2 linked regions of the Mytilus edulis genome follow. The protein of the gene in region 1 purifies or fractionates together with the protein of each later gene. This does not show direct contact. Links are inferred from orthologs where the notes say so. Each region holds a gene or a part of one and is shown on either strand. Other genes may lie near its edges. The genes, in order: homologous-pairing protein 2 homolog and meiotic nuclear division protein 1 homolog.

Region 1 (16,028 bases):
AGTTCCCCGAGATAATGGTTAACAACGTCCAGGGATATGGGTTTTGTAACGATTGTGTTAACCAATCAAAATCTTAGATATATACTTAGCCGGGGATAAAACTTTATATTTAGGACTATCAACACACAAGAGTGCACACGCTGAAATGTCTTGCCTTCTTTACTAATCATTGATATTATGTTGATAGACCTAAATATAAAACCTTATTAAAACTGTCACATAAACTCAACATTAACCAAGAAAACAAAACATTGATCAATGAACCATGAAAATGAGGTCAAGGTCAGATGAACCATGCCAGGCAGACATGTACAGCTAACAATTCTTCCATACAACAAAATGGTTGACTTATTGCTGATAAATTAAGAAAAACAGACCAAAACACAAACACTTAACACTTAGCAATGGACCGTGAAAATGAGGTCAAGGTCAAATAAAACCTGTGTAACAGACATAAAGATCATAAAATATTTCCATACACCAAATATAATTGACCTAATGCATAAAGTATTAGAAAAATAGACCAAAACTCAAAAACTTAACTTTGACCACTGAACCATGAAAATGAGGTCAAGGTCAGATGACACCTGTCAGCTAGACATGTACACCTTACAATCATTCAATACACAAATATAGTAGACCAATTGCATATAATATAAGAAAAACAGACCAAAACACAAAAACTTAACTGTAACCACTGAATCATGAAAATGAGGTCAAGGTCAGATGACACCTGCCAGTTGGACATGTACACCTTACAGTCCTTCCATACACCGAATATACTAGACCTATTGCTTATAATTTCTGAGATATGGACTTGACCACCAAAACTTAACCTTGTTCACTGATCCATGAAATGAGGTTGAGGTCAAGTGAAAACTGTCTGACTGGCATGAGGACCTTGCAAGGTACGCACAAACCAAATACAGTTATCCAATTACTTATAAGAGAGAATTCAATATTACAAAAAAATCTTAACTTTTTTAGTCACTGAATGAAAATGAAAATGAAGTCAAGGACATTGGACATGTGACTGATGGAAAGTTCGTAACATGAGGCATCTATATACAAAGTATGCAGCATCCAGGTCTTCTCCCTTCTAAAATATGAAGCTTTTAAGAAGTTAGCTAACGCTGCCGTTGGATCACTATCCCTATATCGAGCTTTCTGCAACAAAAGTTGCAGGCTCGACAATAAAATCAATGGTTATTAAAGCAGGTGAAACGGCCCCAAAATGACTACCAGGTAGTGTAAAACAATTTAAACAGGAAAAACAACAGTCTAATCTATGTAAAAAACAAGAAATGAGAAACACTTATGAATCACATCAATAAACAACAACTACTCAACATCAGGTGCATGACAGGATACACCTACATGGGATTTTAGGGTTTTGAGAAAATGGAAAAGAAAAAAAACACCATGTCATCACTCTGATCTATAGTTTTTATGACATTAATTAAAGTTGATAAGTCTATGCTATATATTTCATAGTTTATTTCAATAATATAATATATCATTTGGTTAAATAGATAAACCCATCCCAATTTATCTATATAAACAAATGAAAATATATTTTTTTTACATAATCTGTACAGTATATATTACAGAACAAATTTCTTCATAGAGTTACTAAAAAGGATGGAATGACAATTTAAAAAGTGATAAAATAATTATATAAAATGGAAACTTGAAAATCCTAACAAATTGATTGTTTTCTTCTATATCTTATGTCTATCCTTGCATTTTTACTTTTGTAATGCTTATTTGTTGTATACATGCATATTGTCTGTTCTTCAGATTGACTTAATTGGTTTTAAATATTGTATAACTGATGTAAAACTTTTGAAGCACTGATATCTATCAACATTTAGGAAATTTTCTTATTATCTTTACATGATGTTTAGTTTATTAAGCATTGTTAGTTTCCGATGTATATAACATTGTGTCTTTCAATTGTTTCAATGTCTCTTTCTAGTTGTTTCATTTCAGCTTCCATTCTTTCTTTCCTGTTTTTCTTTGGAGCGGTATCAGTAACAACTGACAGGCCCTGGTACTGGTCATGAATTTCCTCCCAGTTTGTTTTAAGACCTTGTAAAATTGCCTGTCGTTCGTCTCCTGATAGAGATCGCATTGCTCCTCGTCTGAAATGTTCTGCTATATATGCATCATATTCTTCCTGAGCTCTTTTCATCTCATCCTTCCTCTTTTCTAAATATTTTGGTGTTTCACCATAATCCTGCAATCAAGTAAAATATGTTGTGTAAATATTTAACAGAACAATTACTTCTAAATTTCTCCAAAGATCTACATAACAAGGAATTTTAAAATATCTAGTACATGTATATAAGTGTCAACAATTTACATCACCAGATTAAATTTAAACAAGAGGCTGTCACAACGACAGCAAACCGGATTTATTAACATTTATTTGTGTCCTGGAAATATCACAAGAACCATTACTGATGAATGGTGAAAGTGAAAATCGTGACCTCTATTTTGTCATCAGTAACAACATATAAAAATTTTAAAAGCTTTGGATGAATAGTTCGTGAGAAAATGCACGGACACGACTGGAAACACCATTTTTCAATCTTTCAAGAACCATAACTCCTGAACGGTAAAAGTCAAAATCGTCATTATTGAATTTGACCTCTATTTTGTCATCAGTAACAACATATTAAAATTTGTGAAGCTTTGGTAGAACAGTTCATGTGTAAATGCACGGACACGACTGGAAACTCCATTTTTCAATCTTTCAAGAACCATAACTCCTGAACGGTAACAGTCAAAATCGTCATTATTAAACTTGACCTCCATTTTGTCATCAGTAACAACAAATTAAAATTTGGGAAGCTTTGGTAGAACAGTTCATGCGTAAATGCACGGGCACGACTGGAAACTCCATTTTTCAATCTTTCAAGAACCATAACTCCTGAACGGTAAAAGTCAAAATCACCATTATTGAACTTGACCTTCATTTAGTTGTTAGTAACAACATATTAAACTTTTAAAAGCTTTGGTTGAATGGTTCATGAGTTAATGCACGGACAACATTTGATTGCCGCCTGCCCGTCGTACATCTCCAATTCAATAACCGACATTTTTGTCACAAAAATCAGGTTAAAAATTGTCACAGAACCTACTTGAAGAATTAAGTTTTCTTCAATATTTAATGTCTTTTTTTAGTCAAAGTAACTATCATCAGTTTTAAAAGAATCAAATTTGATTACTTAAAAAAAATATTTACTGTTATAGATATAAAAAGGTTTAGCACACAATGTGTGAACAAACAATGAGTTTCAGGTGATAAATGTTACCTTTCTATGAACATAAACTGGTTCCAGTCCTGATGGCTCCAGCAAGTTTTTGTGTCCTCCCCTTGTGTCAACATATACTTTTTGTGGCATTCTAGGTACAGATGTGATGTTTTGGACAGCATTATTAGTGATGAAATTCTTTGATGTTTTGAGACCCATTAAAGGTTGCTCTTTAGTTGTAGGTACAGGTGGTCTTTTTCTTTCCTCGTCTGGATATTTAAAAGTTCTCCCTGTAAACAAAATGGGAAACACATAAACTAAGACAAAGTAATATAAATGGACAGAATTTTTTTGTAGAACAGTTTTTCATACATGTACACATTTGAAATACAAGAACTTCAACTGAATCTGATTATATAAAGAATTGAATATTTATAAAAAAAATTTATGAAATAGATCAGATCTATAAATATACTGATTAACTCAAAAATTGAAGTTTTCATGGGTTTTTATTTCTTTAAGAAAAAAATTTGGACATTAAAACAAGACGTATTACCATTTATATTGAAATGGAAATGTTCACAGTAATTTAAATCACATTTTATTTATAAATAAAATTCTTCTGAGGTATTTTCCAAAATTTAAGGTTTACAAATTTAACTACTACATTGAGTGATCTTGATTTGAGACCTTGTAGAAACTTAGTCTTTCATTATGATAGACATTAAAATGAAGCACACTTTCAAAATTTTATAATTTTTTGGGGGAAGTAATTAACATTTAATTATGCTTTCTTGTAAGTTTTTAGTCCCATGTTCCACAACTGATATAAAATGTTATAACCAAATGGTCACCTGACTAAAGAAACAATAACTTACTGTCTGGAAGGACAGGTTCTTTTTCATGTTTCTTCATAAAACTTTCTGGTTGTCTAACAGGAACTTTGGCTTGGCCCATTGTCTTGTGATCATCTTTAAGTTTGACATAATCACCCTTTGCATCATCTCTGAACTTTGAAACATGTCTTTAAAAAAAATAATACAAGAATTATTAAAATATTTGTATACATCCATAAATTAGAAATGATATTTTTTTCAATTATTATAAAAAGTGAAAGATTTTCCTTTATGTTTTTCATGTTATTGCTGCATACATACATTTGTACATGTATCTTTCATTTTCTTAATTCTTTCAAAAGGCTCATGCATGCATATGCAGTTGTTTGGTTTAAAGTCATATGAAACTTCAGATTAAGCTAAGTTTTACTATTACTTTTTAAAGTAAACTTTCTTGAAACAGAAAATCCTTTGCATTATCAAATAATGACCTGTAGTTGTTAATTTCTCTTGCGGAGAGTTGTCGGATTGGCAATAATACAAAAATGTACCTCATCTTCCTCTTTTTAAATTTATATCCTATCTGTTTATTATTCATGGTTTTGTACACAAATCAGACTTAGTTTTCATGTTTGATTTACATTTGCCATTTTGTGGCCTTTTTAGCTGACAAGGTTTTGATCAATGTTGATGGACGTACAGTCATGACCTGTAGTTGTTAATGAAGGCAGAACAGTTTCTGGTTTTTTTTTCCTTAATACTTTGACTGGGACTCTTTTAAGAATGGGGGCTAAACTAGTCAACAAGGTAGTTTTCATTTATCTTGGTTAAAAAATTTTGAAACAGTCTTCTTCTTCTTCTTCTTTACTAAAGAAGAAGAAGAAGAAGACTGTTTCATGACATTTTATTTATGATGGTCTAGAAAAGAAAACAATCGTTATGAAGAAATCTATTCAAAAGGTTGGCATGAAAGTAACCCTTCAATGTAATGACTACACCTTCTACAAGGGATCAATTTCTAGTGATAAAATGTTTTGTTTTGTTGTAAAAACCACTCTTATTTAGGGGGTGGGGGCTGGAAAAAAGGAAAATTTTAAAAGAAAAATACATTTGTGTTACTTGGCGAAAAAAATAATAAAGTGGCGAAAAATATATTGTTTCGGTGAAACAGGTGGCGAAAAAAATAATTGACCCAGGGGAAAGAAACCCTGTCTTTAGGTACAGAAAGGTTCAAAGCCATCAACATTTTTTCAAACAAGATTACTTTCGGGCGAATTGTGATGATGACATTACAAAGTATAATATTGTCATTCTTTTATAATTAAATTAAGGATCCTGATGAATTATATGTTATAAGTATTAAAGTATTCAAAAAATATAAGATCAGGGCCGTAACTACATTGAGGCAAATGAGGCAAATGCCTCATGTTGGAAATTTTCAAAAAAAAAAAAAAAAACTGAAACAGGATTGTCTTCATATCAACCTGAATTATTTTCACGAAGTGTCTTGCAAGTCTCTCTGTTGTCTCCCGGGCATGTTTTTCGAGATCCATGTTTCTATTTTACTTTTAGTTTTCAGAGTTGATAGTCTATTGTTTGCACTTCTGTGTCCCGGGTTTGTCTTTTGTTCATTTATTGTCCTACTTTATAACTATAGTCTGCAGAGTGTTGATTTTCATTCGTAAACTGTGGTTTTGCCATGTTGCATGTCCACCGATGTCCAGACATTGTACGAGAAACTATTTTAAGAATATACGATGCTACTGGACATAAAAAAAATGTCGTTTCTGCATGGAGAATTGAACTTGATATCAAAGAATACAAAACTGGCTCTTTTTTGTATATGAAAATAGATAGCTGACATGGTTTAAATTAAAGTAAGACCACAAATTTCCCGGTATCAAATCATCTTTAAAAAAAGTCAATTTATTGCTATATGACCTTTTACATTGAAGGATTAAACTTGCATGAAGTTGTGTTTAGACTCTTAAACAGAAAAAAAGAATATGGAGTAAACGTGCACAGGACCTTATCTCACACGAAGTCAATGCATAGAAAAAATACAAATGATCAATGGCCAAAGTTTTTTCCCCTATTCTTCATCTTGATAGATGAGGGAGGGTCTTCAACAATAAAAGAATCATTAATACCATAAAACAAGGTCAAGATGGTCCTTAGTGTCGACATTAGCAGTACTAGTACTTAAAATATAATACTGCACTGTCACTCTATTTCAATCTAGCCATAAAAAAATCACCAAAGTCTGAATTAAGCACAATACAAGACAAGACAAGAACAGACAGACATAATGATTATGAGAATTTCGTTTTTTGCTTTATTCTACATATCGGTCTACTTTTAATGTTGTCCCGTAAAACCTAAAAGTCTTAAATTACAATGAGTTTTTGCTTTGAGACAAGAATATTGTCAAAAGAAATAGCTTAAAATTAATTGCGTTTCAATGTAAGTAAGAGTCCGGGAAACGCTCAGAATGCACGATCTTGCGTTATTTTTCTCAGAGCTTCTGGGGGCCTTGAGCGGCCCGGAGACCCCACGCAAATTTTTTTTCACCTGGCTACGCTCGGCGAATATATTTTGCCTCAATATTATAAGAGGCTAGTTACGGCCCTGAAGATGTTTGGAATTAATCTATTACAATGTAGCTTGATTAGTTATCTGTTCTTTGTCTTTTTGGAGTTTTAAAGTAATTTGAATGAGAGACAATTATATCCCAGCACTTTCTTCAGAGATACTGTTAAAGCAGGGCTGCCAAGTCTCACACAGTTAGCGTGAAACTCACACATGTTCATGCTTTTTGGGAGGCATTTTCCTTTGATCTATTGTTTTTTCTCTTTGATCTTCTCAATTTTGGCCAAATTTCACGCATTTGCTTCATGAAAAGTTGGCAGAACTGTTAAAGATAATGTTCTTGTGGCATCTTTTCTGTAGTCAAGTGTGAATTTCAAATATAAATATAAGATGTGGTATGATTGTCAATGAGAAAACTCTCCACCAGAGACTAAACGTCATAAAAGTTTACAAATTTATAAGTTACTGTTTAACCATCAACAATGAGCAAAACCAATAGTGCACAGTCTGCTGTAAAAACTAAAAGGGGTCCAGTTTATGATAAAATATAAAGAGACAATTACTTAAAATGCAAAAGACCAAGCAAAATATCCTATGTTGATATTAAATACTAACGTTCTTGACTTCAGTTCTAATATTTCTTTCTATTATTAATTTATTTGCAAGACAATCTCAATTATTTGATCATTACCTTGGTGCTTTCTCTCTTTTTATCTCTGCTTCAGGGATCAACCCATAAATTGTTGGTTCATCGTCTCTTGTATACATCTTTATATCTCTGATGTTGTCCTATGCACTGTACAAACAAGAAGAAAATTTCAGATAAATAAACTAAGGCCGTTTCCAGGAAGTACGTCATCAAAGGCCGATAACTCCAATTATAATATTATGTCCCCTGAAAATTATTTCCCGCCAATACTTCAAACGTAAACATTGACCAGATTAGTCTGTATTTTAACATGAGTAAATCAAAAGAAGCACAAGGTTGTTGATAACAAAATAACAATAATATGTTCATTTATTTATGTAGGAACAAACTTTACCTGTAAAACCGGTTTTAAAATGACAACACAAGAAAGAAATGCACGAAACAATGTCAATGAAAATAAATATTTATTATTTTATGACTAACCAAAACATGCGAAAGATTTATTTAAATGAAACCAAGTACAAATCCTTGACAAAACAAATGTTTTCAGAATGTCAATTTATTATGAAACTTTCAAAAAAATATGTAGCAATACACATTCTCGATTACCAAATTATTGAACACAAAACCAACAATATGGGTGCAAAAGTGTTTTTGGACAACATACACCCAATTCATAGCAATTTGTATTATATGTCTCTGCTGCCTCTAACTTCTGAGATTAACCCTTGCAAGCCATGCTGAAATAATAGGCTGGGGAGGGGGACCATTTGATAATTTTGAAAAAGGGTTTGGGGTGGAAATGAATATATGGCCTTGTAAGAGCTGAAAATGAATAACCTTGCAAGCTTTAATAGGGGATGACTATTTAATAATAAAGACAAAATGGACTAATTTGAAAGTATCCTTGGACCACTTATAACTTGGATGTGAAATGAAAAGACAAAAATAAATCTGTTTTATATTTTACATGTAAATATTATTTTGTTGGCCAATTAAGTGTCTTGAGTTTACCTTTCAGGTTGGTGCTTTTTAAATTTATCTTTTTGATAATCTTGTTGTTTTTTTAACACCTACAAATGTACATGACATATGTCATTATGTAAAAAGGTTAATAAAACATTACATTTAGATATTTTACTCCAAACACATGATACAACCATCAAAGTCTTGACACATAATTATGTCAATATAAATTAAATTAACCTTTTATTGTCAATGAATTAGAGATATGCCTAATTTATCTAATGCATTATGAATCATATTGACAAGTGGTAACAGCTATATACATGTATGTAAAAATTATCAAAAACACACAAAAAAACAGACCAATACAAAAAATCAAAGAAGATGTTATTAATAAGTACTCTAGTCACCAAAATGGACTTTGCCCAATTTATTTAAACACATGCAGAATTATAAGCAGCGTACTCAACTGATCCAAGTGGTTTAAGAATTATATTTGTATTCTCCTGTTTGGATTCCTATGATAATCCCAAATGAAATAAATTTCCTTTGCAAAAGAAAAATACTTTTGGGGACTTTTATATAATCAAAAAGAAACTACAAAATTTTATACATTGTACAAATGTTGTACATCTAGAGTTTTAAAAAAAAATTAATGAAATCAAAAAGAAAAGATACTGTTTCTTTCCAATGTACAAATGTATTGCATGTATTGAAAGGATTTAAAACTAAAAATGTGAAAAACGGTATGTTTTAAACTGCAAATGTATGATATTTTTCAGGGAGATTCCTAATTCATGATCTGTAACATCAATCTAGAACAAAAGAGTCTTGTTCTAGAGTAAATGATATTTAATCCCATGCCTGGCATGTTTGTACATGTCATATTTAACTTGCTTTATTTATGATTAATTAATGTATTTTTTATAAAGGACTTACAAATTGAATTAGATATCAAATGAGATTTTTGTCGAGCCTGCAACTTTTGTTGCAGAAAGCTCGACATAGGGATAGTGATCCGGCGGCGGCAACGGCGGCGGCTACGGCGGCGGCTACGGCGGCGGCGTTAGCTAACTTCTTAAAAGGTTTATAATTTAGAAGGTGAAAGACCTGGATGCTTCATACTTTGTATATAGATGCCTCATGATACGAAGTTTCCGTCAGTCACATGTCCAATGTCCTTGACCTCATTTTCATGGTTCAGTGACCACTTGAAAAAAAAGTTCAGAATTTTTGTAATGTTGAATTCTCTCTTATTATAAGTAATAGGGTAACTATATTTGGTATGTGCGTACCTTGCAAGGTCCTCATGCCCGTCAGACAGTTTTCACTTGACCTCGACCTCATTTCATGGATCAGTGAACAAGGTTAAGTTTTGGTGGTCAAGTCCATATCTCAGATACTATAAGCAATAAGGCTAGTATATTTGGTGTATGGAAGGACTGGAAGGTGTACATGTCCAACTGGCAGGTGTCATCTGACCTTGACCTCATTTTCATGGTTCAGTGGTTATAGTTAAGTTTTTGTGTTTTGGTCGGTTTTTCTCATACTTTATGCAATAGGTCTACTATATTTGTTGTATGGAATGATTGTAAGGTGTACATGTCTAGCGGGCAGTTGTCATCTGAACTTGACCCCATTTTCATGGTTCAGTGGTCAAAGTTAAGTTTTTAAGTTTTGGTCTTTTTATCTAATATTATATGCCAAAGGTCAACTATATTTGGTGTATGGAAATATATTATGATCTATATGTCAGTCCCGCAGGTTTATTTGACCATGACCTCAATTGCACGGTTCATTGCACAATGTTAAGTTTTTGTGTTTTGGTCTATTTTTCTTACTAAAACTATAAGTAATAGGTCAACTATATTTGTTGTATGGAAGCTTTGTTAGCTGTACATGTCTGCCTGGCATGGTTTATCTGACCTTGACCTTATTTTCATGGTTCATTGGTCTTTGTTTAGCTATCTTGGTTAATGTTAAGTTTATGTGACAGTTGTAATAAAGCTTTATACTTAGGACTATCAACATAATTTCAATGATTAGTAAAGAAGGCGAGACATTTCAGTGTGTGCACTCTTGTTACAAACATGAATAATTGTAATTGAAGGAGTATTAGTTATTTGTAGAATACATTTATGTCACTACTTAAACTGAAATGAATTTTTGTTCATTTGATGTCACCAGTCTTCCCAGTGTTAATGGTGTAATTTATGAACTATAGAATTATACATGACGGCACAATTTTATTGTATGGTATAATTAGACTAAAAGAAAGAAAAAAACATTTGAAGAAAGAAAATGATTGATTTTCAAAACATTCAGAAATATGTATACTTCTCTATAAAAACAAGAATTTGTGGTATGGTTGTCAATGAGACAAGCTTAGATCCATCAAAGTTCAAATGAATGAATGAGGTGAATGTAAGCAATTACAGGCAATCCTACAGCCATCCACCATTTGTGTCCACCATGAGAAAAGCTCATACCGTATGATTGATTATAAAAGGCACAAATGTGTAAAATATAAAACAATTCAGTTGAGAAAATTACTGGCCTAATTTATAACAAAAGATTTTATGAAAAACCAATAAGACAGAAATGAACCAACAACAAACAACCACTGAACTACAGGCTCAGGTATCTATACTGTTAATGCCCCTTTAAAACCAAAGAAAAATATATGTGTGGTAAAAGTTACTGTTCAGATTCTAGACTAAACCCCAACTCTTAAAATATTTTTTTGCATTTAAAAAAGATTAAAAAATAATAACTGTCATTCTGAGGTAGAGTTGTCCATGTGATGAGAAAGTTACTTGTTAAAAGAATAGATGAGAATTACTAGTACTGTCATGTATAGAATGATGGTTGTATGTTCTTGACATTTTGGTTATTTTAATTAAGTGATGTCATTCCAGTGACATTTAAGAAACTACGGGCTTCAGAATGCTGGTATTGCTCATGTTATTATGCCTTGTTGCCTTTTGTATTTCTTTTTTTCCCTGGTGGCAGACTGTTTGGTATTTAACCATGATTCTTTATCAGCACTACCAATAGTATTGACCAACACATGAATTGTTATGTATGGATTTCTCTTATTTCATGATCATTTATAGTACCCAGTACCTCATCTGAAATTATTCAACTTTTGTACTAAAATTAAACTCCATGTGGTGAACCAACGCCTGTGTGAATCATTTCGTTAGAGTCCCTGAAGTGAATACCTTGGTATGCAGGGTTGTCAAATTATGCAAATAAATTCAACATTAAAATAATACCCAAAATTGACAACACTTCGAATGGTCTGCACTTTTGTACTAAAAGATATAATTAGCAGAAATCATTCAGACTATCTGTTTTTTTTAAATTTTTAAATTTTTTTTTTATAATGACAAAACTGAAATTTTCACTGTATACAGTATATGTCATGTATGTATCCTCAAAGCAACTATCAGTAGTACAAGTGACCTAAACTTCAACACGTTGAACGCTGTCACTATAAAGTAGAAGTAGAAGTGAACTAGTTTGAATACAATCTAATGAAAATAAGTATGTTTTGTATTTACAGCTTCCAAGGCAGTGTTTGATTACTTGAATAAACAGAACAGACCTTACAGTGCCATTGATATTTGTAATAATTTACATAAAGAACATGGTAAAACAGTAAGTTCGATACAGTTTGTGGGTAACTGGGCTTGTAAGACTAATAGCTGGAAGCAATTAATATCATATGATACAGTAGATTACTCTGTATATATATCTGAGTTTGTTTGTTTTAGTCTCTGCGAATAAGAAGTAAAGACTGTCAAATTTTATGTTATATTAAATCATGTATATAGATATAGGAAGATGTGGTGTGAGTGCCAATGAGACAACTCTCCATCCAAATAACAATATATAAAAGTAAACCATTATAAGTCAATGTACGGCCTCCAACACGGAGCCTTGGCTCACACCGAAAAAAAAGCTATAAAGGGCTCCAAAATTACTAGTGTAAAACCATTCAAACTGGAAAACCAACGTTCTAATCTATAAAAAAAAAAAACGAGAAACGAGAAACACGTATAAATTACATTAACAAATGACAACTACTGTACATCAGATTCCTGACTTAGGACAGGTGCAAACATTTGCAGCGGGATTAAACATTTTAATGGTACCAAACCTTCTCCCTTTTTCTGAAACAATAGCATAACATCACAACATAGAAAACCACACGATAAAATATCAATTGGAAGGCTTAACTCAATCAAAAACCGTAAATTAACACACTAGCACAAAGTGGGAGCTGGCTATATTAATGCATTTAATTTATCCCTCTATTTGTCAACTACTCTTTTCAGTCAGATTTTTCTCTCAGCTTCTACTTACTTGAATGATTAATTATTTGGTAAGCATCTTGATAGAACTTTATCATTTATAATCTGATCTGTCAGAAATCTAATGTCCTGTTTGCCCATACTTTTGATTTTTTTCTGTGTTTTTGAAGTTTTAATTTTTTCATCATATACATATCAAATACATTTATTCATTACTGAATAATTTAATTTTGGATGTAACACGTCTTCTAATTGGCTGACGTCATTTTGTTTATCAGCTCAGTCATAATTTTGTTATGTGATCGTGACATCATCAACGTTTTTCATGATTTACTCCAGTTTAAAATGGAATTAAGAATTAAATTATAAGAAATGACTAATATTTGTTCTGCCTATTCCGAATAGGCTACATGGGTTATTCAGTGTGCACCACATTTTTATGTTATTTCTTCACAAACAGAAAAAATATTACAGTCATTTCTTAAATATAATGATCGACCCAAGGGTCCGGAAACGGTCATATATGCCAGTCTTGACCTAAACTGAAAGTAGTTTGTCCTAAATGAGTAATTGGGATTTAGGACAAATTTTATTTTTTTACAGAAATAATTTCGGTCATTCAATGTCATTTCGTTGAGATCGAGTTTCTAACATTGTCTAAATCGCCATTTTGAACTTATTTTTTGTTGTTATCCTTTTCCTGTAATAAAACTGCCACTCCAGTAAAGTGTTATAATCCTGAGGGCCCTCCTAATAACTATAGTAATGCCTCAGGGAAATATTGGCTAATGATCGCTAATATCTTTACCTGTGTTTTTAATTAAATTTTTTATTGATCACGAGCTCAGAACTAATATTTTAAAGAAATTAAAAGTTCATAACAACTGTCTGCATTATTTAATTACTTTTCTCAGCTTAGACAATTGCCAATTCTGATTTAAAATTAAATTAATTTACGTAGAACAAAATATTGTTTCACTACAAACACACGTGCTTTGTTTACTAATACGCATGCTTGAAATTCTCTTCCGCAAATTAGACACTAAATCGTAAATTAAAAATGATTTCATGCTCAATTAAACAAGTCCAACTATTACAATTAATATTCAAACACTAGTAAAGGTAAAACAGTTCAAAAGCTGACGATTTCCTGTGAATTTGATAAACAAAACTAATCCCGGAAATGAGTCCGGAATTGGTCGTTTTACTATTGTCGTAAAACATCCGGTTATAATTTTGTTTTTAAAATTGAAAGAAACGTAAGCGAAGTTTGAGAAATTTATCGTTTTGAGTCATTAAAATCATTTCATTTTTAAACTGGTGCCTTCCTTTTATTGCTCAAGATCGATTTTAAGGAACATGGTAGGGAAATTTCTGAAGTAAATGCGATGCAACAGTTAAACAAGTTCGTTGATGCTACGAGTATGACTGTATGAGCATACACACAATCTTTGTTTAAAAAGGGCACCAACTTTTAAGTTATCCCAAAATGACCGAAATTAGGTGAAAAAATTTCCGGATCCTTGGATCGACCCCATATTTGATAATCAGCTCAACTGAGTTGTAACATGTTAGAACTTTTTGTATCTGTCAGACAGCTACTACCTGTTTTTGAGTTGGGGTTTGCTTAGCATGATAATATATGCATTCTTCTCATTGTCTTAAGGTAGCAATACACAGTTAGAAGTTTAGTTTCGCATTATGGCCCCTGTGAATTTTTTAAATATGAAAGTTTTTGTACAATAAAATTGATTTTTAGATAATTGAAGAATAATATAGCCTTCTTAGTGGGTTTATATGAACATTAAGATTGTTTTTAACATGTTTTATAGGCCATTTATATGACTGACAGTCCGTATTTTCCTATCCGTACCGTTCATAGGTCCATACATTATTGTGGTGTCTATCAACAAAGATTTTGGGCTCGATCTTTTCAATTCAATTTTATGGAAAAACGAGCAGATAAGCATATGATTTTTTTGGGACCACTTGATAGATATAAACCTATGGATTCAGGAAAGGTATCACTGTAATTGATTGAAATTTTCCTTTAGACCAAATTTTGGAGACTTTTGTGACATGTTCACCCCCCTTTTTTGCTATATTTTGTATCTAAGAAATGCAGATTGTTGCCATGGTTACACCCAAGAGGGATTATATTTCACCCTTATGACCATTAGAAATCAAATCTATGAAAGATTCTCTTTCTATAAGTATATACATGCATAACACACATATAAAGCCTTCTTTGTTAGACAGGAGGGGAAAGAGGGTGTTTAAAAGTTTTGAGTGTCAATTTTAAGTTTTTTTCCTAACTGTGTATTGCTACCTAAAGTTTAAAACATTTTACATAATAGACCACTCCTTTTTCAGGCCATAGTTAAAGCGTGTGAAGTTCTGACAGAAGATGGTAAAATTAAGGAAAAAATCAATGGAAAACAGAAATGTTATTTTGCAGACCAGGTGAGGTTATCAAAGCTTTGTCAAAAACTGTCTGAAAAAATCAGTAAAAATGTATACACAAAGATTGGATGTTGAAAGTTTTAACTTATTAGATGATAAAAAAAATATGACCAAATCATGCTGTATCAGCATGAAGCACAAAAACAATTAACAAAAAAACAAAACTTTAAGACAGAAAGTGCAGATCTAAGAATATTCACAGTCACTGGTAGCTAAAGGTCAGTGTATGACCTTTGACAATGATCAAAACTATAAGACAGTCCCCACATTACAAAATGAGAAACAATTGAAAGGAGAAAACCATGTCATGTACAATATGAAATAACTCAGGTTTTCACTTTCTGAAATATCAAGCAGTACACTTCCAACAGACCTAAAGATGTCATTAACAATCGAAGAAAAGTATGACCTTTATATGCAATGCCATAAACAAGATTTCCAAATTGTTTATATGGGTTGCAAAAGTTGTATTGGTTATAGAACTGTAAAACAATCATTCATATTTTTCTGTGCAGATAAGGTTAAGACATTAAAAAAATATTACCTATCACTTAAGAGGAGTTAAATAATTTTATGGTTGACATTTTCACATTTTGATTTTGTGATCTTTGTGACATAGTCACAGTTTCCAGATGTGGATGACAATGAGATAAAAGAAATGGATGTTGAAATTGTCAAATTATCTGAACTTGTACAGAGTAAACAAGAAGAAAACAAGAAACTTGAGACAGGTAAGAACAATGGATTTATTCATAAAGATTTAAAGCTAGGAATATTCATAAAGATTTAAAGCTAGGAATCAATTTTATCAAAAAAGCACAATTAAAAGAAGTGTTAAAACAATTTTGATGCTCACATGTAACAGAAAACATCAGTAAACTAACATTTCATACATGAAGCAACCCAGTTATAATTTGTTATTTGTAAAATGTAAAAATTTTATTTT
Region 2 (15,967 bases), on another chromosome or scaffold:
ACATTTTTTGTGTGCAAAAAATTATATTTTAAATGTGAAATATATGGGAATAAATGGAAACAACACTGTTATCTATATATTCTTTTTCAGAATTATAACTTACCGTTGCTATATGTGGTTGCACCTCAGATAACTGTATCAACAATACAACTATTTGTGTCAAAACACCATTTTTCACAATTTCTTCAGAGAATTCACCACTTAAAGCAAAGAAAAAGCATTTAAATAAATTTTACTTCACAATATTGGATATGAATTGTTTTACAGTATTTCAAATAATAACATGCATATAACATTTACATTTAATCAATATAATGTTTACAATAAAAATGTTTGTCTTAATGACAGCTAAATTTAATTGAGTCTTCTGAAAGACACAATATTTATTATAGAAAAGGTTTATGTCTAAATTTGAATAAATGGTTGCAAACATTTCTACAAAGTTACATAGTTTTATAAAATTTTGTCTCTTTACGAAATGCTTCAGTTCAGATATTTCAGTCAGTATTCAGTAACTCTACCTTGAGGCTAGATAAGTGAAAACCCACGAGACCTCTGACAGTATATTGACATTGTCTGGATGATAGACGAAATGTGGTAGTAACACTGTTATAACCTGACTCAGTATTCAGTTAACCTACCTTGAGGCTAGATAAGTGAAGACCCACGACACCTCTGACAGTATATTGACATTGTCTGGATGATAGACGAAATGTGGTAGTAACACTGTTATAACCTGACTCAGTATTCAGTTAACCTACCTTGAGGCTAGATAAGTGAAGACCCACGACACCTCTGACAGTATATTGACATTGTCTGGATGATAGACGAAATGTGGTAGTAACACTGTTATATCCTGACTCAGTATTCAGTTAACCTACCTTGAGGCTAGATAAGTGAAGACCCACGACACCTCTGACAGTATATTGACATTGTCTGGATGATAGACGAAATGTGGTAGTAACACTGTTATAACCTGACTCAGTATTCAGTTAACCTACCTTGAGGCTAGATAAGTGAAGACCCACGACACCTCTGACAGTATATTGACATTGTCTGGATGATAGACGAAATGTGGTAGTAACACTGTTATAACCTGACTCAGTATTCAGTTAACCTACCTTGAGGCTAGATAAGTGAAGACCCACGACACCTCTGACAGTATATTGACATTGTCTGGATGATAGACGAAATGTGGTAGTAACACTGTTATAACCTGACTCAGTATTCAGTTAACCTACCTTGAGGCTAGATAAGTGAAGACCCACGACACCTCTGACAGTATATTGACATTGTCTGGATGATAGACGAAATGTGGTAGTAACACTGTTATAACCTGACTCAGTATTCAGTTAACCTACCTTGAGGCTAGATAAGTGAAGACCCACGACACCTCTGACAGTATATTGACATTGTCTGGATGGTAGATGAAATGTGGCAGTAATGCTGAAATAACCTGTCCCTGTACCATCTCCCTAAAATATATCAACAGTTATTACAATAAATTTAAAAGAACAAATCTGAAAATCGTATATAAGAAAGGCAGCTTTTTTTAACAAATCCCCAAAATATTATAAAATTTAAGTAAATTAATCTGATTATATCTAATACAGTTAGTGCATAACATGTATGAAATGCAGTTATTTTGATGATTCAAGTCCCACAACTCTTGAATTATAAACAAAAATTTGGAAATTAAAAGGGAGTTTGCTTTTAACAAACCCCCAAATAAACAAAAGTTTCAAGTAAATCGATCTCAGTAAACTGTATTTATTGCTGGACATGTGAAAAACTTACTTTTATCTGATGGTTGATGTCCCATAACTCTGTAACGACCATCAAGATATTTTTTGAAACAACAGTGTAAAGTTTCAATCAAAACAAACTTGTCCAATATATGTGATATATAGCCTCAAACAATTTAACTATGGAACAACAAACTGAAACTTTTTAAAACAGAAAGTGAGCTTTTATCCATTGATTAAGCACAAGTTTTTTTATAAAATTTTATCAAAGCATTATCTCCCCTTTTATACAAAGTGTAGATTTAGGGACAGACGACCAAGCTTTACTTGTCAATATTTTAATCAGCTGACACGTTATCTAACCTTTGCATTAACTTTAAATTGTTACCACATTTTCATTTAATAAAAATCCATTCAGGCTTCACAAGTATCAATTTTTTTAATATCCAAAATATACAATTCAAACATCCTACCTTGAGATTTCAATGCATTCCTTGGCCAAGTTTGACAAAGCAAAAGCTGCAGACTGGACAACAGCAGGATGTTGGGACTGAAATAAAGCAAATCTTTTACTGCAAGGAAAACTCAGAGAAAATGTTCATTGCAAAAAACAACAGTGAGATTTTTAATATTCTTTCTTTCATTCTTAACTAATTTACTCCTTCATGTTTCAACTGTGTTCCTGATCATATAAAATAAATTTGGGTTTAATTTTATAAATCATCTTTAATGTTTAACATGAGTTATGTTATCTCTGATTGGATACAACAACTATTGCACATTCTATTTAAGAATAGGTTTCTCAGGTTTTCTGAGAAAACTTCTATCAATGTTTACCAACAATGCCTCATACACTTATACTGAGATATTAATACCGGTAAGTTGATTTGATATCCGAATGCTATGTATCCTATCAAGAATATAATGTCTCAAAATCATGTAGCCTTTAAGACTAAAAGGTCTTTAAATGTTGTAATAGCCATTAGAGAAATTAACATAGTGAAGGAACTTTATCTAAGGATCCTTATTAACCTTAGTTTAAACATATCTATTCATAGTGGATTGGGAAACAAGTTTTGCAACTTATATTAATCTCTTTCCACTTTGCAGGTGCGAGTGCTGCCTTGTAGCGGCATTAGCCTACTCTTTTTCGAAATCTACAAGGGTGTGTTTAACGTGCAAGAGATATGGCTCTCTCCATTAATTAACACGGGTCAGCCATTTATCGTCCCCTTCCGACAGACTATCATCGTTTCCTTAAGACTTGTCTGTACATGTGTTAATAGATATGGTTTATATGTTTTAAAATTTCATGTTTCAAGTTAAGCATATAACATTTATTGAAAAAAAGCAAGCATTTCAATTGGTATTAAAATCATTTTAGTTTAGTTGGTTTGCAAAAAAATAAGCACAACTATTTCTGAGTATTCATTGATAATGATATCTAACTTATACACATTTTTCTTCAATGTAAATCTCATATTAGACTAACCTGTAGCAATTTAATTAATGGTGCAACCACACCCTGAGCTCGGACCATATTTCTGCATTCTTGACTGTCACCTGCCAAATTACCTAGGGCCCAAGCACTCTGGTCCTATAAAAATAAAACATAAGGTAAAGATAGTCAACAGCTGCTCCTAAAACTCACGAAATTATTCAATACTGTGGATTCGTTTATTTTCGTGGGTATCAATTTTCGCTGATTGAGGAAAACTTTTTCATGATTTAGTTATCTCTTAATTATACATGCTATACAAAGCCTATATAAAATTTGTAACTTTTTGAACATTTGAGTTTGTGGTTCACCTGTTCCCACGAAAATTGGTTTCCAATGAATAATAATGAATCCGCAGTACATGTAGTAAGAATCGTGAATATCATATGAAAAAAGCTATGAGAAGAGAAACGTTTTAGTACTGAAAGCATTAGTTTTGAGGAATTACATCTGTTTGAGACTAAACTTCAGATTGATCTACAAAAAAAATAAGTTAACAACTTCTTTTTACAACTGTTTTTAATTAGAAATGTTGGTTATATGGCTCTTTGTCCCATCAAACAAAAATTCACAGAGAAAACAACCTTTTAGTTGATTTTTATTTTTTTTAAAGGGTCCTTCAAGGTTTGGTTACAGAAAGGAAATGTTCATGTTAAATCCATAATAAACTGCATTTATATTTGATTGTTTTTTATTGTTGTAAAAACGACAAAACCAAACTTTAATCCCATCAACCTCCACCTGTATTTCATGTCTTTCTAAGTTATCAGTTATTTTTGATTAATCAGTATATTGCATTCTCCTCTAGTGGTTGTTGTTGGTGGATAGTTGTCTCATTGGCAATCTTTATATTGTTATAAGGATTTTACACACTTCACAGTTGGTAAATAAATAGCAGCTGAAGAAAAATACCACTAATACAAACACATTACATATTTACAATAAACATGAAAATTTCTGTGTGATGGTTATTTTTGCTTATTTCACAATCATGAATACTCTGCATAAAAAATCTGACATTCATAATAATTTGCAAAATTTAACTTAATTCATGAAAAAGAGGCATTTAAAGTTTCATATTTCAGGATTGGGTGTAACATTGTTAAAGGTTACCAGTAAGCATTGAAATAGTAAAATATCAATCTGCAAAAATTTTCACATTTAAAATATTAATCTTCTTCTCGTAGAATAGATTAGTACCTGTAAGAGAAAGTTCTGACTACTTAAGTAAGCTACTAAGTATGGAGCTACATATTTAGAGATTAACATGGCCTGGTCATGACTTCCTGCTGATATGTTTGTAATACACCATCCAGCTTCTAGCTGTAAATCTGAATTTGTTCCTGTATATAGTCCAACCAGTGTGTGTATAATGTTTTCCTCACTAGAAAAAATCAAATTTCATTATCAATTAATTATAAAGTTGAATAAACACTGATAACACAGAGAATTTTTTTAGCATGCGTAGCTAAGTAGCTTAATTACTTACTTTATCTCTAAAGGCAGATTGATTTATTATTGGTGTTTAATGTCTCTTTCGATAGTATAAGCTTTATCACAGCAGTCACTGTTTAATGATGAAGTAAGCAAGGCTGCAAGAGTATCAAGAGAGAACCATGCAGGAAAAACCGACAACCCTAGTCAACTTTCATTAGAGACAAACACACCTGCCATGTACTCCGTTCAAACTCACAACTTCAGTGTTGACAGATAGAGATACAGTAGACAAACAAATTACACTACAACTCACTAAGGGCATAAATATAATGTCCTGTCATATCAAAGAGTGATATACAACAAATATGATCAGGAACTGTGAATGAACCCCAGCCCTGCAATTTCAATTATCTCCCCTTTAACATTGATTTTCAATTGAATCCCCTTGTATGTTTTTTTCGTGCACCATATTGTATATTGACCAATCAAAGGCCCTGAATAATGATAATTTACTTGCCTTACAAATGCATCAATGTACACTGTTCCTTGTGAAAATGCCTGTCTTAAAAGTTTTAAAGCTGCTAAAGTGTTAGTTCCAGACTTCTTTAAATTAGCTGTTATGGTTTTTACCTAAAAAAAATAACACTTGTAAATGAAATGTAACAGCATATCCATTTCTACTTCACATTAAAAAACAGTAAAAGCAATGTCACACTGATATATTAAATCAAGATCAAAGTTTTTTTTTTTCTAAAATAGAATTGAATAAACCTTGTCATGGTTATTGTATAAAATGCTTTCATAATTTTTTTATATTTTGAAATTAAAAGTAATCTCTTTACTGTCCTAAACACATTGCACAATGTATCTTAATATTGAACTTTCTTGAAAACTGATAATTTGATTCCATGGAAACTTTTATCTTAATGTCAGAACATCTATTATAAATTTTTAGTTTTTTGTGTGGTGTTATGTGGATTGATGTTGGTCTTGTTTTGTTTTTTTACCCATGGTGTTGTCTGTGTTTTTTTCATTGCCTCCTTTGTATCACTTTCCAAATTGTTGTACTTCTCATAAAACAAAATATTCAACTTTTTCACAGACAATTTTGCCACCCAGTAATTTAAACTACAGCCATTAAAATTGCCTGTACATGTCATTTACATACATGTACATAATTTACTAAAATAAACTATCCATACCTCACTTATACTGTATTCATCTGTAATTTCTTCTCCTTCAGCTAAACGAAATCTTTTTGAGCTTAGTAATTTATCTTTCTTTTCTTTTCTTAAAGCTGAAAATAAAAAAAATCATGTGGTTCCTTATTATAATTATGGTTATGCATTATGCAACACAAACAGATCCAAAAAATATGTGACACAACTCAAAATGATATCTTATTTTAAAACTAGTACATGTAGTACTGTTCTCATAGAGTTATATCTTGCCTGTACATGTAATTTTGAAAGTATAAATTACAGTTTGAATGCTACATGTAGCAATTTTTTTCTTTGCTGGCTGTTTGTACATACATGTATATTGACTTACTGTAGATGAGCATGTGGTCAGGGTTTTGATTTGTATTAGGCAGTGGCTATTTTGCCGGCTCCGGCAAAATAGCGATTTGTATACAGTTTTGCTATTTTGCCGGTCTTGATTAAGATTGAAATAGAAGTATAGAAATTAATAATAGAAAAAATATAGAAACATACACTTTAATGTGAAATCCCTATACAACTACATGTATGTCTTACTTAAACATTTATACAAAACTTGTATATTAAGATTGATATTCTTTACTTAAAAATTAACATCTTGTTATTGATACTAGTACATTTTTTCTTTAATATGAAGTAAAAAAAAAAAAGAAGCATTAATATTAAAATAGATACTAGTCTAGAAATTTGTTCTTTCATGAATAGGAAGTCTAAAAAAAAAGCTTACAATATTAATATTTATACTTGTACTATTTCTATATGCATCATGAGAACAATATTTTGTTTATCCATTGCACCATAGACTATAGATTATTATTAAAGTTTTGTATGGTTTTCATGAATTCTATAGTCCTCGTTTCACGTTTCAAAGTACTCCAAAAAACCGGCTGTAGCTCTTCATTTTATAAGTCAAAAATAATGCAAGTTTGTTTGATAACAAATTTGTTATTTTCCGTATTTTTTTCAATGTTCAACAGGAATTAATGTATGTTAATGTAATTAAATGAGTGCATTTTGTATTAATATTTGCTCTTTTGGGAGATATTTGAACTTTGTCAGATTTTCAGTTTTAACTTGCATGCAAGGTGCATAGGGTTTCTCTGAGCTGTGAAAGACTCCTGATGAAGTTGAACAGATCTTTCATATAGAATTATGAATTCCCGCAAATTTATCTGATATTAAAACAAAAAGTATCATATCCATGAAAAAAAAATATACAGACTTTGTCCTCTTCTGTTTTCAAATAACTGCCTTATAAAAGAAAGGAGTAGGTCCGGTAAGGACCGATTTTGGCCTCAAATTTCAGGTTCATCTGACGAAAGATTTTGACCTCTTTTTAAACACTTAAGTGTCTATTTCATTTGATTCAGTTAGTTTTTGTGAAAGGTTTTAACTGATTTAGTCATTAAAAACGATCCGATTCAAGCTCAAAATGAAAAATCTACCAAATTTGTTAAAAAATATCACTTTTCAGATGGTTTTTGTCAAAAATGAAAGTGGCCGCATCCGTGTTCATCCTAAACCTTTATATATGTTATGTATTATCATAAAATACAACTCTCATTCCAATATTAAGGATGAACAGGAATGCGGCCACTTTCGTTTTAAGCGAAAACCGTCTAAAATTTAACTAAAATGATAGAATTGTGAAGATTTCAGTAATTTAGCATGACTTAGTGGTGCTAGTACTCGATATATGTGCATTGTATTGTCAAAAACAGCCCATAATTATGTAGCAGAAGCATTCTACTGTCCAACAAATAACTAAAAGTTTACATTTTAACAATTTGGTAAAACTGCAATATTTTGGGGCCAAAAAGGGGTCTTACCGGACCTTCTCCTTTACACTAAATACAGTGACACAAATTACGTTTTTAACCTATTTTCAATCATTTACTCAAAATATTAAGGTGACTGTTGTGTATCTTGTGTAAAGTGAAACCTCGAACTGCTGAAGCCAGAAACGAAAAACAGACATTAGTCATTAGATACAAAAACTTGAACATAAAACAAACAGGTTGCCAAATTTCCTACCAATTTCTTCACTTCTATTTCTATTTCGTATTGTATCAACGTCATCTGTCTTGTGTTTATATTGAGCTTTTCTGTCCATCACAGAAAAAAATAAGGGAAGGTTTGGGAAGGGAAAGCAACCAACGCTTTATAATCCCTTGAAGATTTATCTTAAAACCAATTCAACATAAAAAAGATTGCGATACTTTGTACTGTTGAGTCAATATTTTGTGGAGTAAAAGGAATATATAAATGATTCGATAATAGTACTGTAGTGATACATTCATGATTTGAATAAGATATATTTAGAAAGTTTAAAAACATTTACCTTGCAGTTGTCGTCCTCAGTTCTGTCTGTTGGTTTTAAGTAGTATCATGAAAAGGCGCCAAATTTAACTAATCATTTCTGCTTGACAAAATGGTAGTGTATATTATATATATGAACATATGGTTGTCATACAGGCATTCATGTTTTATAACCACTCAAATATTCCATATTTTACCAATAAGAGCACATGTGCTTGGGAACCCTTTTGAGATTCGGAGTTTGGAAGAGGGTAGGAAGGGGGAGGGTTTTTTGTTGATTGTTACCATTATGAAAGAATAAGAAGCAGAAGCACTGCCCTTTACTGTCAAAGGGTGATTTTCGGATACTGTTAGTGTTTGTGTAAAATTGGTTAAAATTTTACCGTGATTTGTCAAAATATTCCTATTGTTATTCATCAGAGGTTTCAAATAATTATCATCATTACTGTTAGTTTTGGAAAAAAATTAAAGTGATTTGTCTAAACATATATGTAATACCCATAGATAAAGCTCGCCAAAAGTTCCCCACTGTTCTCTATTGTTAGATAAAAAGAACCATGACCAAATTGACTGTCTTTGATGTTATACAAATACAAATACAAATATTTTATTGGCACAAACACAATTACAATAATTGGCAATGGCCCATACAACTGGTATACAAATAGTAATAATGCATAGAATAGCAATAGGCATATTTAGAACAATATCATCGAACGATATCAATATCATCAACAGTAAATGATTAAAAAAAAAATATATCAATTACATAGTTGGTCAAACATATTAAGTATTGAAAATAATGACAATATTAATATGTAATATTATGAACAATGATTATTAGCAATTTTATAGAGTTTGTTCTGCTTTACGCAGGTTCAAACTGTCTGAGATGAAAGAGGAAGTTAATTTTAGGATTGTGTATGAATTATTATTTAATAAAAAGATTATATTATTTTCATGTTTTTGAAATTTTGTAGGATCAACGATTATATTTGAAACTTTATGGTAAAATATGTCCCTCTTAGTTGAGTATTTTTCACAATGTAAAAGAAAATGTTTTTCATTTTCAATTTGACCAGAATTACATACAGAGCAGTATCTCTCATTTCTGGGAATATTTAGATGTCTCCCTCTTTCAATCATCAGTGTATGAGCGCTTATACGGATCTTACATATTGCAGCTCTGTCACTTCTGTTTTTTAATATATCAACATAGGGTGGTCTTCTGCCCATTATGTAGACACTTTTGAAAAAGTCTAACTTTTTGGATTCAAATATATTTGCATTTTGAACTTGCAAACATTGGTCATTAATTCTTTGTTTAATAGAATTTAAATTACCTTTAACATAATTAAAGTTATTGATGATATAAGACATTCCAAGTTCATTATAAATGTGTGTTGTACTCTATCAAGTAACTCTAGCCACATCTTTTATTTGTTGATCTCCTTGACCAGTACAGCATAATAGATTTTCTTAAATTTCTTCTCGAGTTATGTCCCTTCTGTTGTTAAATTATGTCTATTTTTAGCGCACTGGACAGACAAATAAAATGGTCAAAAAATGGATGAAATCGATCAAAAATTGCGCATTTTACAAGGAATATATTGAACTTAATTCAAAAATGTATTTTTTGGCTTGTATCTTTATATTTTATAAAAACTATGTTCCTGTAAGTTCCGGAAAATGGGAATAGCACGTTGTTGAACTTCTAAAATACACCTTTTCTTTGATATGCTTCATTAAAGTGCCGAACTGCGTCAAATTTGGGAAAAAAAATAAGAAAAAGTACAAAAATGTACATTGTTTTCTTTTTTTAATCAGTTTTTCTACAGTTTTAGAAGAGAAATGGTCTTTTTCAAACCATTTTTATAATTTTACAGAATAAGTTAGTTGCTAAATCATAGATGTATTTTATATTTTTTGGATAATCAAAAATATTATAATAATTTCATTCATGATGTTTATGAATATGTATTTATAAGTAAAGAGTTTTAAGAATTTAGAGAGAGCCGTGGTGTAGTGGTTAGTGCATCGGACTACTAACACAAAGGTTCCTGGTTCGATTCCCAATTGGGATGAAAATTTCAGGAACTGAATTTTCGGCTCTCCCTTGACACCATTTGCGAGTATGGTCTCGAGGAAACGATGATAGTCCGTCGGAAGGGGACGATAAATGGCTGACCCGTGTTAAGAGAGAGCCATATCTCTTGCACGTTAAAGACACCCTTGTAGATTTCGAAAAAGAGCAGGCTAATGCCGCTACAAGGCAGCACTCGCACCCGCAAAGTGGAAAGGGATTAATATAAGTTGCAAAACTTGTTTCACAATCCACTATAAATAAATATGTTTAAACTAAGAATTTAGTGCATGCATTAAATAACAAAACATACAAGGCATAGAAAATACTTTTTGGAGCATACATATTTTTAACTTGTTCAATGTTTTCTAACAATTATATGTTCAATAAACTTGCTTATAAAAGTAAGCATACATTTTAAAGATAAAGTTTTTATATAAAATCTAAAAATATAAATATAATGAAAACGGAAGTTCTACCTAAAAATGAAAAATATTCACATTTAATTGTTTCTTTACGAGAATATTTTGTAATATTGTTTTATCTAAACAAATATTATTTTTTAAAATCAAGTCAATATAAAATATATATTTTGATTTTGTTTCTTTTTGATTTTTAGCATGTTTAATGGCTAAGTAGATTTTAATTGTCAGTTTTCTATTGTCCTGATTGTCAATCTGCATCTCAATGACCAACTGGTTCATGTCATTATCAGATAAGTGTGAAAGCCATTACAACCCACATATAACCTTTGAAGTCAGGGTTGAGCTTCATCTATGGGTATTACATCTATGGTCTAAACATGCTATAAGAAAGTACATTTTCATGATTTTATTGTCATGCACCAAAAATTACAATTACTGTCATTTGGCAAGAATCTTTACGTTATTCTTTATGAATGTACCCCCGTTAAGGAGGCTCTTATTGGGGGTGTCCAAGTAATCACATAATCATTGATTATTTTTTTAACAAAATAATCAAATAATCAAAAATACAGTCCTAGATTATCAAAAAATCATGAATATTTGGTCTGGTAATCAATCCTGGATGTGGAACAATTGAGAATCCAAATCTAAAGGATTAAGTTGCTTGGTGTTGAATACCTGGAAATATAAAGGTAGATCAAATGGTTGAGTAAGGTAATATCTTCTGTGGGTCTATTGTTTAGAGCACTGCCTTTAGATTCCAAGATTGAGGGTTCAAATTCCTCTTTAGCTTGTACCATCTGTAACTGTAGACTGGTAGAGGTTTGACAGTAATTTTGTAATACCTGCTTCAGTGATTGTTATGTTGGACATTTTCGAGTGGGGACTTCTACCTTTGTCTTGGATGTTATCATCCGTTTCATTTGTAAATACTGATTGGAACTGTTGATTTAAAATGTTCGCTTTTTCCTCAGTGTCTGTGACTAGTTTGCCATCTTTTTTATGCCCCACCTACGATAGTAGCGGGGCATTATGTTTTCTGGTCTGTGCGTCCGTTCGTCCGTCCGTCCGTCCGTCCGTCCGTCCGTTCGTCCGTCAGTCCGTCTGTTCGTCCGTCTGTCCCGCTTCAGGTTAAAGTTTTTGGTCAAGGTAGTTTTTGATGAAGTTGAAGTCCAATCAACTTGAAACTTAGTACACATGTTCCTTATGACATGATCTTTCTAATTTTAAAGCCAAATTAAACTTTTGACCCCAATTTCACGGTCCACTGAACATAGAAAATGAAAGTGCATGTTTCAGGTTAAAGTTTTTGGTCAAGGTAGTTTTTGATGAAGTTGAAGTCCAATCAACTTGAAACTTAATACACATGTTCCCTATGATAATATCTTTTTAATTTTAAAGCCTAATTATATTTTTTATCCTATTTCACGGTCCATTGAACATGGAAAATGATAGTGCGAGTGGGGCATCCGTGTACTTTGGACACATTCTTGTTCAAAGGTGCAACACCAGTGTTATCAGATCATGTGCTTTTGATGTAGCTGAACCGATTTTTTGGTTTTGATTTTGATGTTTCATATTGACCAGGTTCGTTTTAATATTGGTATATCACAGATCATTTTTTCCATATATTTCCAATATTCTGTACGCAATTCTTTTTGCATTGTTTGTTTCAACTTTTTTATATTTTTCGGGATATTTCTTCCTCTTTTGATAAGCTTTGATTTTCTTGTTGATAAGCTTACGCAGTTTGTCTGTTACCCAAGGTAATCTAGTTTGTATGTCATGTATGTTATCATTTTGTGTTGTACATTTTTTTCTGTAGATTTTACACATAAAGCTTGCGGCCCTGACAATATCAAGTCCTTTAAGAACTAAAGGAACAAATCTCACCAATCCTTACATTGATATATAAAAAGTCGCTTGAAACTGGAGAAACACCTAAGGACTGGAAACATGCTAATGTTAATGTAGCCCCAGCCTTCAAAAAAGGGGGAAAATACAAACCCGTAAACTACAGGCCAATATCTTTAACCTGCATATTGTTGCAAGCTCATGGAGCATATCATTACAAGTAGAATCATGTCTCATCTTGAAAAACACAATATATTATACGATCTTCAGCATGGCTTCAAAAAATCTAGGTCGTGTGAAACACTATTAATAGACTTCATTCAAGAACTAGCACAATCAAATAATAGTCAGTCAGGGGTACTACTTGTACAAATTATTTTAAATTACTTGAAGAAGCAATATTAATATACTTATACAAGTAAATTTGAAGGATACTTAACCAAGTGAATTTTATTTATTTGTATATAGGTTAAAAAAAATATTTGGTGAGTTATGTCCCTTAGACATTCAGATTTTTTTACTGTAGAAGCAAAAAAGTTATCCTATCTTTTTTTATTGAATTCTTAGGATTTCTTTGCTCAAATAGAATTTCAAATTATCTGCCCTTTGCAGTTGTCTTTACTAATCATTTAACCCTCTTGCTGCCGACCGTTTTTCAAGGTTGCATTTCATATGCCGGAAAATACGACAGCTCAACGTCTGTGACGTAACATGCTAAACAACCACGTCATTCGATATATGACGTCACAACAAAATGACCACTACATTTGGGACCAATTGGAGAAAAACATGACCCTGTTTATTCTTCTGTATTTTAATTGAAAGAGATACAGCATTGATAAGAAGCTGGAATAAATTTATCCATGGACATATATGTGTCCCTCCGGCACTGCCGGTTTGGACATATGTGTCCCTCCGGCAGCAAGAGGGTGTAATTTCATGAACAATTAAAATCCCATTTGTCTATTATCTTCAGAACACTCAGCTCATTTACAAGCCCCCAAGGATCAATTTTTGAAGGCCTTGTGCAAATACTTAAGATCTCTGTGAGCACTATCAGTTTCTTTGTTGAATTAATGAGATGAAACATTGAACTCTAATAAAAAGGATATGAGCTAACCTGGGAAAAATTATTAAAGCCATGATTTTACATCTCAAAACTTGAGAATTTTTGTGAGAAAATTAAAGGCAATTTTATTTAAACATTATAATTAACTTATATGTCTATATTTTTTTTACTTCTTCAAGTAAATAAAAATAACTTGTACAAGTAGTACCCCTGATAGTAACACACAAATTGACTTGATCATAATGGACTTCTCTAAAGTGTTTGACAAAGTCTCACATTGTCGCCTCCTTTACAAGCTCAAATTCTATGGTATTCAAAATAACACACTAAATTGGATTCAGGCATTTTTACAAGACAGAACACAAACAGTTGTCATCAATGGCATTTCCTCCCATAACATCTGGTGTACCACAAGCATGACAAGGAACCCAATACTGTTTCCATACCCGTAGCCAGGGGGGTTCGGACGGGGTTCGTCCGAACCCCCCCTTGAAATCAAATAAGCACTGTTAAAGTCAACGTTTTGTTCAAATTGTGACTGTTAAAGTCGAGTTCATGAGTCCAACGAACCCCCCCATGGAAATTCCTGCCTACGGGCCTAGTTTCTTATCTATAAAAATGACTAACTGACCGGAATACCTACAACCCAGCAAGCTTAGACTCTTTGCAGATGACAGCATAATTTACAAGGAAATAAAAACACAAGATGATTGTCATAAACTACAACTTGATCGAGAATCAGCAGCTTGATGCGAGTCAGATTGGCTTATAAATGACATTTCACCCTTATAAATGTACCAACCTTACTATCTCACAAAAGAAAAATAACTACCGGCATAATTACATCCTCCACATTCACATCCTCCAATCAGTAACATCTTCAAAATATCAGCATTACCTTGCAATCCAATCTATAAAAGTGGAACAAACATATAGACAGTATAGTATCAAATGGGAACACTAAACAGATCACTTGGTTTTTAAAACCAAGTGATCTGCGTACTGATGTTGTGTATCATCTTAACAACATGTTTTATTGTTCTTTTATTTGTTTTTGTTCTATTATTAAGATTACTTGTACTGTTGAATGGTTTTATGTGATATCCGTTTGACGTGGCTCGGTACTTATACATCTCGTCAATGTGTTTGTATTGGCTTTCATTTTTTTGTGATTTGTTTTGTATATGTGACTCTTTGTATTTCTTTTGTGCTTATAACGTGACTCTGTACTTTAAAAGATCCCGTCAGTATGATATTTGTCTATAATATGTCATATGTCATTATGATATATTTCTATAATGAATTACCATATATGTTGAACCACAAACGTCAAAATCAATCAATGGCGTAGTGGAATAAACAATTTTTGGATTCTCATAAATTCTATGTATAACTTTTGGACTAGTTTGAATCTCGGTCTATTTCTGTAATTTATTCTTACATACTTTTGATTTTTTAACCCTGTATGCGTACATTGCCTATGAAATTTTTTTAAATTGTTTGTATTCACATTGAAAGACAAATTTATGTGACGTATATAATTTTTCTGACGTCAGACACTCAAATCAATCCATGTGTTCTTAGACAGTAGATGTTTTTGTGTCCTGTTAAATTGTTTCTTTTAAAAGTTTTGGATTCTCATAAATTCTATGTATAACTTTTGGACTAGTTTGAATCTCGGTCTATTTCTGTAATTTATTCTTACATACTTTTGATTTTTTAACCCTGTATACGTACATTGTCTATATAGATTTTAAAATTGTTTGTATGCACATTGAACGACAAATTTATGTGACGTATATAATTTTTCTGACGTCAGACACTCAAATCAATCCATGTGTTCGTAGATAGTAGATGTTTTTGTGTCCTGTTAAGTTGTTATACGATGATGACTGATGTACCCATATTTTGACTATTTTATTAATTGTGACTGTTTATTTAACGCATCATGTAAATGTAGCGGAATTTGATGAGACTGTTATTAAAGTGAGAGGGTTAGCGCTATAGAACCAGGTTTAATCCACCATTTTCTACATTTGAAAATGCCTGTTCCAAGTCAGGAATATGACAGTTCTTGTCCATTCGTTTTTGATGCGTTTTGTTTTTTGATTTTGCCATGTGATTATGGACTTTTCAAATTGATTTTCCTCTGAGTTCAGTATTTTTGTGATTTTACTTTTTAATGTTACAAACACAGAAACAAAATCCAGAGCATACCAGGCACTAGTAAGACCCAAACTGGAATATAGTTTTAGTGTCTGGGACCCCCATATGAAAGAACAACAGATACATTAAGAAAAGGTACAAAGACAAGCTG

What was found.
Region 2: the proteins of homologous-pairing protein 2 homolog (region 1) and meiotic nuclear division protein 1 homolog purify together in Homo sapiens (co-immunoprecipitation; 6 studies listed by BioGRID and IntAct, counting the BioPlex papers as one, with this or other methods). This does not show direct contact. The link is inferred for Mytilus edulis from reciprocal best matches to the Homo sapiens genes PSMC3IP and MND1.

Annotation. Positions count from the first base shown.
Region 1 is NC_092345.1:94,962,710-94,978,737, forward strand, and holds the start of homologous-pairing protein 2 homolog, read left to right. Parts: upstream 1-7,555; 5' UTR 7,556-7,644; coding exon 7,645-7,669; intron 7,670-11,868; coding exon 11,869-11,963; intron 11,964-14,992; coding exon 14,993-15,082; intron 15,083-15,701; coding exon 15,702-15,813; intron 15,814-16,028. Other genes in the region: enkurin-like, read right to left, coding at 1,922-2,239, 3,321-3,550, 4,139-4,284, 7,377-7,453. UniProt on the Homo sapiens protein: Plays an important role in meiotic recombination. Stimulates DMC1-mediated strand exchange required for pairing homologous chromosomes during meiosis.
Region 2 is NC_092349.1:43,064,556-43,080,522, forward strand, and holds the start of meiotic nuclear division protein 1 homolog, read left to right. Parts: upstream 1-8,208; 5' UTR 8,209-8,331; coding exon 8,332-8,334; intron 8,335-15,967. Other genes in the region: uncharacterized protein, read right to left, coding at 104-200, 1,362-1,475, 2,219-2,295, 3,238-3,342, 4,444-4,627, 5,198-5,310, 5,883-5,977, 7,935-8,013. UniProt on the Homo sapiens protein: Required for proper homologous chromosome pairing and efficient cross-over and intragenic recombination during meiosis.